Linked DNA regions of Drosophila melanogaster. The protein of the gene in region 3 interacts with the protein of the main gene of each other region in a pairwise test. Each region holds a gene or a part of one and is shown on either strand. Other genes may lie near its edges.

Region 1 (3,757 bases), 4.3 Mb from region 3:
TGCTTTCTGCTTCCTCTTTCGCTCCTTCTTCTTCTTCGCCTACTGTTAAAAATGACGGGGTTTTCCTTTCATTTAATTAGAGATTTTTTTGTGGTTTTTCTTTAGGTTTTTGTTTTTTTTTTTTCTTTAAATTTATAAATTTACAGTAATTATCACAGAGTTGTTAAATCTTTCTTTGAATTTGTTTTGTTTTTCTTTTCTCCGTTTTACTTCCGTTTGTTGCAGTTGCTTTTGCTGTTTTAGACTTTTAACATTTCTCACTAGGTACACTTATAAAAAAATCTGAATTGAAAACTAGTAAAAAACAATGTTTTATTGGAAAAAATAAAAACTGTTTTTTTGGCACAAGGCCGCAGTTTTGAATTTGTTATGCGTTCTCTATATATATTGGCTTAATCCGTTTATTTTTTTTTCACTAATTTATTGTTTTAATTAAATTTATTGGCTAAGTTCAATTGCTGGTGTTGTTGTTGTAGGTCTGTGTAAAACGTGACTTAAAACTTATAGAATTCTTGTAGATTTTTGGTTTTAAATGTTTTCTTTATTGTTACCGTTATTTTTTTAGTATATATTTTTTATTCACACTTTTTTTGCGGCACAATTGTTGCTTGATCGGTTTTATTCAGCTCTCCTCGCTTCTCCTCCATTTATCGCTCTGTCTCCCACTTCCCTTTCGCCCTTGTGGGCGTTTATCAGTTGTTTTTGGACTTAAATTCTAGCAGTGTTTGTTTTTATGTTTAGTTAAATAATTTAGATTGATGTTGCGTTTTAAATTAAATCGTTTTTAATATGTTTAAATTATTTGTTGTTGATTTACTCCCGGTTATTTTGTACTTTAAAACATTAATTCAGTTGTTTGTTGGTTGTTGTTTGTTTGTTGTTGTTGCTGCTTTTGTAGCTCGGTTGTTGATGTCTTAATTTAAATTAATTAGCAAATTGAATTCACTCTGACTTAACAACAAAAAATTCGTAATTAAATTAAAGCTTTTCAGGAAAAATAATGAGGAATTTGGGATTTATTTAGCGTTTTTCCAAGTGTAGGTTTTGCGGTTTTGCTTGAATTGTTTTTGTTTTATTCGAGAGTCCGAACGCCGCAGCGCCGTTGCCTTTGACTTCACGTTAGTTTCGTTTCCCGTTGCTTTTTTGTTTTCAGTGCTTTTGCCGTTTTCTTGTTAAACTCCGCTTTACTTGCTCCTTCGTGGTTTGCCTTTTATTTTGTTTTAGCTTTTCTTTTTGTTTATTTATTTGTTGGTGCTTTTGAGTATTGACGAGTTAATTTCACAGCGTTTCAATTTGTTTGGTTTGTTGTTGGTTTTGTTGTTGTTTTATTTGAAAGTCTTCGTTTCAAGCTTGGCTTGTTTTTTATGTTGTTTGTTGTTTTGTTTTCTTTTTTTATTTGCGCAGTCGCTTTATCTCCCTCTCTGTCTGTCTCGCTCACACCGACGGGCGGCGTAAAAATTCTCGTTTTTTCTGTTTTGTGTGTTTTTCTTTGCAAAGCAAACGAAACAAAAACAAAGAAGAGTCCAAAAAACTTAAAAAGTTTTTGCTTTGACTTTTTCCTTTTGAGCTATGTTGTTGTTGTTTTTTATTTCTGCTGTAACTTTCAATTATTTGCGATTTATATTTGTATGTATTATTTTTTGATTCGTTTTCGATGGTGATTTTTTTATTTTTTTATCATATTTGTTGTTGTTTTTTTATATTATTATTATTTTTTCAGATTATGATGAAAGTGATGTCAAAACGGAGTTTTAGTTACAAAAGCTGTTGAATGAGAAAAAGAGAAAGGTGGAAACGATTAAGAAAAATTAATACATCTTTTTTATTATTTCTTTTATTTTTGGCTAGTGAAATCTACACCGAAAGTCTTGCTGCAGTTTTATCGATTTTTCAGTGTTGCAAATGGAGAGATTTTTGCCTGCCGGAAAAAATTGCACACACACTGGCGCAACCTACTACGCACACACACATGCACGCCCATACACACGCACACGCAATTGCAATCGTAAACTATTTTTACACATTATTGTTGTGGTTTTTAGCGTAAAATTAGCAACCCCGCAGACTGCACACACACATGCACAGTCACCGAAGTGCCAAGTTGGTAGCAAAAAAACGAATTTTCATCAACTTTTTTTTCGGGCTGCAAATTTGGTACCCTCAAACGCACACACACACACACAGAAGCGTAGAAAATCTGGCTGGGCAACGAAAAAACGTTAATTCGCCATTTAAAAACTAATTTCCCTAACACATTTCATATTTTTCCATCACAGCTTTGTTCGCGGCACATTTTCTGCATATTTTCGTTCCGAATTTGAGTTAAATAATAGTCCTATTTGAAGCGAACGAGAATTTTCTGGACCAGCCACACGTACCACACGACAGCACAACAACTGCTAGCGGGCGCCATATTTGCCGACAGCACGATGGCAGTGTTGGAAGGTGTGCGAAGAGAGGGACAATTGTGACGTCAGTGGTCATGGGAGTAGGAGCAGGGATCTCTTAGCTTTTCTATTCCTATATTTAAATAATCAAAACTTATCTAAGATAACGATTTAACTTTAATTCAGTTAAAGGGACTATCTTTAATGCAATGTCTAAAAGTAGTAGAAGTGCAGGGTTATACATCTATGTCATTTTCTATGCTATCACTGCAAATTATAAAATATGAATTGTATGTGACTTTTATGTAATATTCTTAGTTTTAATAATAAACAAAAGCAATTTATGTAATTAAATGGATTATTACTAAGAAAATTACATCTAAATATTTAATTTTAAACTGTACGTATTCGAGACAAGAACCATCGCTAGCTATTTCTAACTTAAGCCAACCCCAAAATCTTTTCGCCTTTTATTAAGCGGCAATATATTGATTTAAAAAATGAAACTAGTTTTATTTGTTCTGATAAATAAATATGGAAGATATGTTATTATCTTTGTAAAATTGGAATTCCCCCAAAAATGCAGAAGTGTATTCACTTAGTTTAATTCTTAATTTTCGGAAGTTCTGTCACATAAAACATAAAACACAAAAAATCCCTTTTTTAGATTCCTTTTAGCAGCCCACAGAAAATCACATTAGTTTTACGTCTTCCTGGGTCTTTTAACGAATTTTATTTCAGCAGCTCCTTGGTTGCTTAATCCATAATTAACTTAAATGGTATTTTGCATGATAATGGGATCCAATACATATGTATGCTGATAAATTGATTATCCTTGAACAGATTTTTAAAGATTACAATTTACAAAATCTAGTTAATTGGTTACGGTGCCTTTTATACATTCGACAGTGCAAAATGTTATCAACATGAATAGATTATCAAAACGCCCTCGCTAAATATAAATCTCGGGCTAATTGTAGTTAAAAAGATTTAATATCATGTTTATAATTTTTACGTTACGAGCACTTCGATTTGGTCACACATTAAATTGCATCTGGTTTTGCATATTTTAGGGTTATTTAATTGCCTGGATTGCGTTACATTTCTATACACATTTGCAAAAGGTCCAAAGTTTGGTCTCTGTGTTGTTCTAGGGATATATTTCAAACATATATTTTTGTGACAATATTTGTTGTGTATGGTGCAGTTTATATGGAATATAAATAAATACGTCTTTATGTATGTACAGCGAAATTTTAAAATTTTAAAAACCCGTTTAGCTATAGGCTATTAAAACTGTCCATTGCTTAAAAGGGCATGAAATTTCCTCAGCTTACATGGCTTTAATACATTTCAATATTCATTTGAAG
Region 2 (3,537 bases), on a different chromosome or scaffold from region 3:
TGGCTGCTGGCGCTTCCAAGGATCCCGCTGCCGCCTTCGGTGCCCGTGTGCACCGCTCCGCAGCTGTCGTTCAGCGAGGGCGCATCCTTCAGCATTTCGTGAATGCTGCGCTCGCGGTCCGTCATAGCTATGGCCGTCGTTAAGTTAACCGCCCGTCTCACCGAGTAATTGCCAGCGGAAAATCCTCCTGTCTGCCCGTTTTGTGTGGGGGTGTGCCCGATTAGGTGTCTGTGTGTGTGTTTCTCGGGCAACGGCGCTGGAGGTTTCACTTCGATTTCCACGCCGAAATCGATGGCGCACGCTGGGCGAGTCGAGACTTTAGTAACCCCTGCCTGGACTCGTCAAAATTCTCAAATCCCTAAAATTCCGCATAAAGTTCATCAAACTGTGTTCACGAACTGAAAATCGGTGTGACTGTGCGCGAGTAGGTGGTTAAATGCCACACTTGGACTGCTTGGATACCGGCTGTGCGACACGGTATTTTAAAGGCGGAACGGTGGAGTTTGGAACACGGGGAAGTCCTGTCCTGCAGGTCAAGTCGGTGGGACGTGGTTTGGCGGGACAGTGACTGCTGCGAGGACTCTCCTCTGCGGCACCAGCATTAATTTTTAATTCATTTTCATATATATTCTTGATCATGATCAATAGGCCAGTTGATGTGGCCAAGCAATTCTATTTGGATTTTCAGTGCCGACCAGTTGCGGTCCCACTAAAGTGGAAATTTGATTTAATTTTTGGGGATTTCATGGAAAATCTCTACTTATTTCTATTTCCACGTTACTTAGGCCAATAGCCAGCGGAAAATGGTCTACGTGAATCTAATAATAGGCTTGGGCCTGGTGTCCGTTGCCGCTTTCGCCTATTTCAATTGGCATAACGACCGCAGTTCGCCTTACTCCAGGTGGGTGCTATTAAATGAGCGTCGAATCGTGGGCAGGTTGGTGCCTTGCGATTCAAAGCTAAAATGTTGGCTTAAATCCCTTGTTTCATTGCAGGTCGCCGAATGGCAGGTGCACCTTTTGCCAGTATGAACTGAGTGATGACGACCGGCGCCGCATGAGGTGTGGACATGCCATGCACAATCTCTGCTACTTGGTGTTTCGCTATTCCCATAGAAAGTGCCTCGAGTGCGATAAGGTGGTTAATGTCAATATAGCCGGTGACTTGTGCACGATTTGTTTAGATCCCCTAAGTGTTTACACCATGGTGTATCTGCGCTGCAGCCACGCCTTGCATGAGAAGTGCCTCCACCAGTACCAGGCTAATGGTGGCCGCCACTGTCCGGTCTGCAGAATGGGAATTAAGGAGTAGGTATCACCTAGTGATCATGCAGCCAGGCAAAGCCATATATCAGCATAAGCGTGCACTTAATGCAAGGCTCAACGAATTTTATATATAACATTAAGTCGAGAGCAAAGAAGTCTGATTAAGATTTTAGTTCTGAAACGAATAAAAGTTAGATTTCTTAAAAGATGCCGATTTCAACCAAATTGTTGTTTAAAATGAAAGAAAAGTATTGGATGCGTCTATGCTTTTTCAAAAAAAAAAAAAATAATACAATTTTATATTTTTGTTTTGAATTGTTCAAATATCGTTTAGCCAGTGTGTACACACCACGCACATGCACTTAGTAAACAGACAACAGCTGATGTGCATCTTCATTATCTCGCTTGCCATTCACTTGAATGTAATGCATCACAATAATGTTGAGTTTTAAAAAACCTTTTTAAATATCGTTTGGTTTGCTCAAAATGTCTGAGTTGCGATCGATTTGCCGAACTTGTGGCAAAAATGTGACCAATTTGCAGGGTCGGGCTACCAAACTGTTCAACAAAAGCAACTATCACTTTATTAGTATACTGGAAAATATCACCGATATGTATGTATGTAAGTGAATAAAACTAAAGTATGCTGTCTATTTAATTGATTTAAATGATTGTTTAGCTCGAATTTGACACCACTCTGCCACATCTAATTTGCCAATGTTGCAAAGTGCAGCTGGACAGGATCTTAACATTTCGCAATAAGTGCTTGGAGGTCCACAAGTCTTTTATGGCCGCTAACAGGAAACTTTTGCGAAAAAAGGCGATAGTTGATGAGGAACTCGATAAACCGGATGTTGAGAAGCTACAGCAGGATTTGTGGGACCACACGGATCAGGAAATGTGTGTAGCAATGGCAGATACAGCTGGGCTTCTGCGGGAAGATCACAATGATAATGAGAAGGCGAAGGACGCAGAAGATGCGACTCAGAATGAGAAGAATCAGGAGGAACAAGTACAAGTACAAACAGAGGAGGTGGAGCACTGTCAAGAGCAGCTCCATAACATGTCCATCATCTCGAAGGGAGTAAGTGCCCGTGTCCCCAAGCGTACGAAGCGCAACTCCAAGTCCTGGTTCTGTGACCAGTGCGGCGGCGTCTTCAAGTCCTCTACCTACCTCAAACTGCACCTGCAGCGACACAGCGGTCACAAACCGTTCGCGTGCGACATCTGCCAGGCCAAGTACTACACGGATAACGAGATGCGGCGCCACAGAATCCTTCACACGGACGCCAGACCGTACGCTTGTCGGTTCTGTAGCAAGACCTACCGAGGATGCAGCAGTAAAGTGGTCCACGAGCGGACCCACACCAACGAGCGTCCCTTTCAGTGCCAGCATTGCGACAAGGCCTTCACCTCCACGTCGACGCGTCAAAAACATGAGATGCTGCACACTAATCAGCGGAAGTACCAGTAAGTAGGAGCACTAGCTGTCCTCCGTAAAATATGTGCAAACTGACTGTATTTTCCAGCTGCGAGATCTGTGACCAGTGGTTCCTGCGCTCATCCCATTTGACCCTACATCAAAGCACTAAATTACACCAGCGAAGAGCTGAAAGTGCTAGGATTGTCTAGAATTCATGTGGACTGCTGAAAGTACAAGTTTATTATAAGATTCCTAAATTGAACAAATTGATTCTATTTTTGATTTGATGGTTCTAAAAGAAGAAATAATCAAAATGTACACCTGTGACATCAAAGGTTTTCGACTTTTCGCTCTGCAGATACAATGGTTTATTTCTTGAAAAAAACTTGTAACAACAAATTGAGATTTTGAAAATCGGCGGAATGGCCGCGTTGCTGGGCGAATGTCAATTCGAAATCGACTATGCGTGGGGCTGAGAAATGCGAATGCCGCTTTTCTTGTTCTTCCGTCCAAACAAACCGAAAAAGATACACTTCCAATCGATCGGGGTGCTGCGTTATCTCATTACACAAGCCATGAGGTACATTTGCAGGACCTGTTCTCGTATGGCTGATCCTGCGGTAGCCAAGAATCTCTTCGATCCATCGAGTTCTTCCGTTTTGCGTCAAATAGAGACTCTAACTAACTTGCAGGTGAGTGCGTTAGCGTTTTGCGAAAATAAAAACCGAATAAATGCCGCGATCTGTAATCACTTTGCAGCTAAAAGAGGACGGCAAGTTGCCCAGGTTCATGTGCCAGGACTGCCAGCACGACCTGCAGATTGCCATCGATTTCCGCCGCGTTTGCATC
Region 3 (3,757 bases):
AACAACGTCCTAAGAGCAATTTGATTGTAAGTTGTCCAATGACTGCCTGGATCGATCCTCTATATGGTATGGTATGGTATGGTATAGCATGGTATATAGTGTGTTTGTGTGTGCACATAAGCCTATCGCGCACTTTTGTCAACACTTTTAGTCAACTGAAACAACTGCAAGAGCAACAACTGCAACAACTTCAGTGGACAAGAGCAACGTACACATTCGCACACATGCGACATGGGGTAAGGAAAACAAGTTTCAGGTTTGTTTATCGCTGCCTCCTTGGTTAACTTCTCCACTTCTTGAGGCTTGGGGCTGTGGGCTTTGGGGCTCCAGGGGCTCCGGGGCTTCGGGGCTTCGGGGCTTGGAGCCGCTCTTCCCGTTTAACATTTTACAAATGATCCGAGGCGTAAGATACGATTTTTATCGCAGGCCGGCGGTCACAGTGCTGCATGTTGTATCATCGGTCGTGATTGATACCGCCACAATGTTGTCGCTGATGTTGCTGTTGCAGTTGGGATTCGGTTCGGTGTTGCGTCTCGTGCTTTCATCAAGTGACAACTCAAGTGGCCCTATGCGATTAAAAATTAATTCCCGGTGTTTGCCGGATGGCTGGATGGATCCACAATACACTCGTACGATTTCTTATCAATGCGGCTCTTTGAATCAACCGCCGATGATTATCGACTATCTATGGCTACAGGCTATAACTATAACACAACAAATATCTCAACTCGAAGTGGTCGTTTTGCGGCTAAAGTAAATTATTTTCGGGTAGCCATTATGATGGCGAGGGTAGAGTGACAGCCATTCATGTTTGTTTAAAGAGCATTTAATATTTCCGATATTCCGTTTCAGCTTTCGACTTTGCGCCACAAGTTGCTTTTACATACATATATGAAAATATATGAATATGCTCGAGTGTCGAGTGCAAGCGATTAAATTTTTGGAACAGGGATACCATATTAACTGGGGATCGTGTTACCACTGAGGGATTATTATGGCTAAAATCCTATTGGACACTCAAGTGTGACTGAGCACGATGTGCGGTGACCTTGCCAGCTTGGTTAACAACCAAAGAGACATTGATGCATAAGAGAGATTTTCCGAATTGGCAGACGGTTTTTCGCGTGTTGTTCGCCCAATGTAGCACACTTGTGGTCCTGACATTTTCAATCTGTTTTATTTTTAAATCCATGTCTTCCGTTTGCCAAATCAAAATGCTAAGGTATTCGAACCCAGAGTAATCCCACTGTTTCTGCTTTTATCTACATGTGTTGCACTGATTTGCCTCGTAGCTGAACGGGTTTTCAATCTAATTGCCACTATCCAAATGCCAGACAAGCTAAAATGCAGCGATTAACTGAACCATCTTACAAGTAATAAAAAATGGGGGAAAAAAAACAAATTGATATACGCACCATTACTAAACAGATACCGGTTTCATTACTGTGCACTGTCATTTAATATTAATTTTTGCTTTTAACTAAAACTATAAAGCAAATCTTAGAGTTACGATGCACCGATGGACTCGCGCACTGAACCGACGTATGTGTATTTAGATAGATTTATAATCCGAGTGAAGTGATTGTGATTGTGCGATCTGTGATCTTGTGATTGATCCGAACTAGTTTTTATGTTGATTTTGGATCCGGCTTGCGAGCTATTTCAGTGTTTACTTTCTTTGGGCTGTGTTTATTTTTTTTTGTTATTCGTTTCGTTGCACTGCGTTGCACTTGCCGACGGCTGCAAGGAGCTGGCCAACTCGAGTTAGCTGGCCAACACAGGCGCTACTGGGCACCGTAAATCCGTAAAATCCGACGGGCGGCTCGACGGGAATCGTTTATGTGAGTCGTTTAAATTTGTAGAATTGGTAGAATCGGTATTCGGGAGGAGCAGCTCTATCCGGAGGATGCGAAAACGAAGCACGAATGAACCAGAGGCGGCGGCAGCAAATAGTAGTATCTGGGTGTGAATCTGATTCTGTTTCTGAATCTGGGTACTGAATTTGAATCCAGCTCGCAGAACGACGGCGAGCGGCGGGCAGAGAGCACTATTATTCACACTGCGGCACTGGCACTGCGGCGGACACGAACGATACGAACAATCTGCGTAACAGTCAAAAGTAGACTAACATGAGTTTCTTGAGCAACTACAAAGTGTACGACAAATGGGAATTACACGACAACCGACAATCGAAAAACAGCGCAGCGCAACAACAAGAACAGGCCCACGCACCACCACATCGATACATAGCCCGCGCCGCGTTTGTATGTGTGAGCGAGAGAGCGCACAAACGGGTTTCTCCCCTTAATTTTTACTCGCACCTTCGCTGGTGTGCGTGCGCTCTCTTTGCTCTTTTTGAGAGCGGCCAAGTATCTGTGCGCTGGTGTGCGTGCGAAAAGTATCTGTGTGCGCTGGAAAAAGTAGCAAACGAGGCGGCACGACGACAACACGAACGGCAACAACGGCAATAATGATTATCATTATAAGTGGGCTGGCGCTCCGGCTGTGTGTGGCACTCAGGGGATTGGGATTGGAATCGGCATCGGAATCGGTATGCTACGGTAGATACCCCTCAACCCCCTACCGAAACGTAGCCACCAATCTCGCTGCAAGTGCGAGCGAGACGCAGCAAACCAGTTGGTTAGGTGGAGGGGTGGGGGCAACAAAAAAAGTATCTACCGCCTGTGTGACCATAAATAAAGTATCTGCCAGCTGCGGCCGGGCGAGAGCGGGATGGCTATAGCCGCTGCGCCGTTGGCCACGAATCGCAACCAAGCGGCAGCGACAGCGGTAGTATCGCAACTTGCTCGCGTTGGCTGTCGTCTTGCTGGCGTGCGAGCGAGATGGCATAGCAGCAGCAGCAGCAGCAGCGGCGACAAGAAGCAGCAGCAGCAGCAGCAACACCGAGAGCGGCAGAACATGAAAAAATTAACTTAACAACTAGAAAAATGGCTGTTATTGCGTGTTGTTGTAAATGCCGATGTATGTATTTGTAGGCGATGTTGTTGCTGTTGTTGTCGGCGATGATGTTGCTGCTGTTGTTGCTGCTGCTGTTGCTGTTGCAACGCTGCTACTTGCTGCTGCTGCCGCAGTTGCTGTTGCTGCTGCTGCTGCTGCCGTGGGTGTTGCTACGTGTAGTTGTTGCCATAAACAACGCAACAACAACAACAACAACAAGACGAATGTCGCGACGTATGAAAGCAAAGTGTTTACGCTCGCTTCTCGCTTTTCGCCGTTGATGAAAAAAGAAAAGCCTGATGAACATGAACGACGAGACTCGTGAAGAGGTTGGGCCAAACGCGATGGGTAATGTTTTATCATCCGCCTCTGCCGCAGTCGCTGCTACGGCCGTTCCCCTCCAGAAACCCCCTCCTCCCCCATTACCCCATCCCTTTGGCAACCAACCCCCTGCACCGCCCCTCTTGACCGCTTTGGCTCTTTGGCTGGATTGGTGGCATCTTTCGCGCTGCTCCAACAAAAAAAGAAAAAAAAAAAATCAGAAGAAAAAACGAGAAGAACAAAAATCGCCACCGCAGCTGCCGTCGCTGCTTTTGCTGCTACAACATACGCTCTTACATTTTATTATGTAGGTATTTGTTTTTTGTTTTTTGTTTTTTGTATTTTCGTACTTCGCTTCTCGTTTTTGCCGTGGCGTTTCTTTAACTTTTTCTAATTAATTGAAACGCCACTCGAGAGGAGTGACGGCAGCTGCTAGAGCGGGATGGCGTCTATGTGCTACATATGTATCTGAGTGCTG

Evidence for each region.
Region 1: the proteins of mirr (region 3) and Unr interact in a two-hybrid assay, tested with the Drosophila melanogaster proteins (one large-scale study listed by BioGRID).
Region 2: the proteins of mirr (region 3) and CG31441 interact in a two-hybrid assay, tested with the Drosophila melanogaster proteins (one large-scale study listed by BioGRID).

The regions. Positions count from the first base shown.
Region 1 is NT_037436.4:8,439,955-8,443,711, forward strand, and holds the start of Unr (upstream of N-ras), read right to left. Parts: upstream 1,754-3,757; 5' UTR 1-1,753. UniProt on the Drosophila melanogaster protein: RNA-binding protein that acts as a regulator of dosage compensation in both males and females.
Region 2 is NT_033777.3:11,234,606-11,238,142, forward strand, and holds CG31441 (uncharacterized protein), read left to right. Parts: upstream 1-1,680; 5' UTR 1,681-1,751; coding exon 1,752-1,883; coding exon of another isoform or gene 1,884-1,887; intron 1,888-1,944; coding exon 1,945-2,735; intron 2,736-2,794; coding exon 2,795-2,897; 3' UTR 2,898-3,019; downstream 3,020-3,537. Other genes in the region: Arfip (arfaptin), read right to left, coding at 1-125; CG17721 (uncharacterized protein), read left to right, coding at 804-937, 996-1,311; CG31388 (uncharacterized protein), read left to right, coding at 3,264-3,380, 3,448-3,537.
Region 3 is NT_037436.4:12,692,012-12,695,768, reverse strand, and holds the start of mirr (mirror), read right to left. Parts: upstream 2,131-3,757; 5' UTR 1,458-2,130; coding exon 1,416-1,457; intron 1-1,415.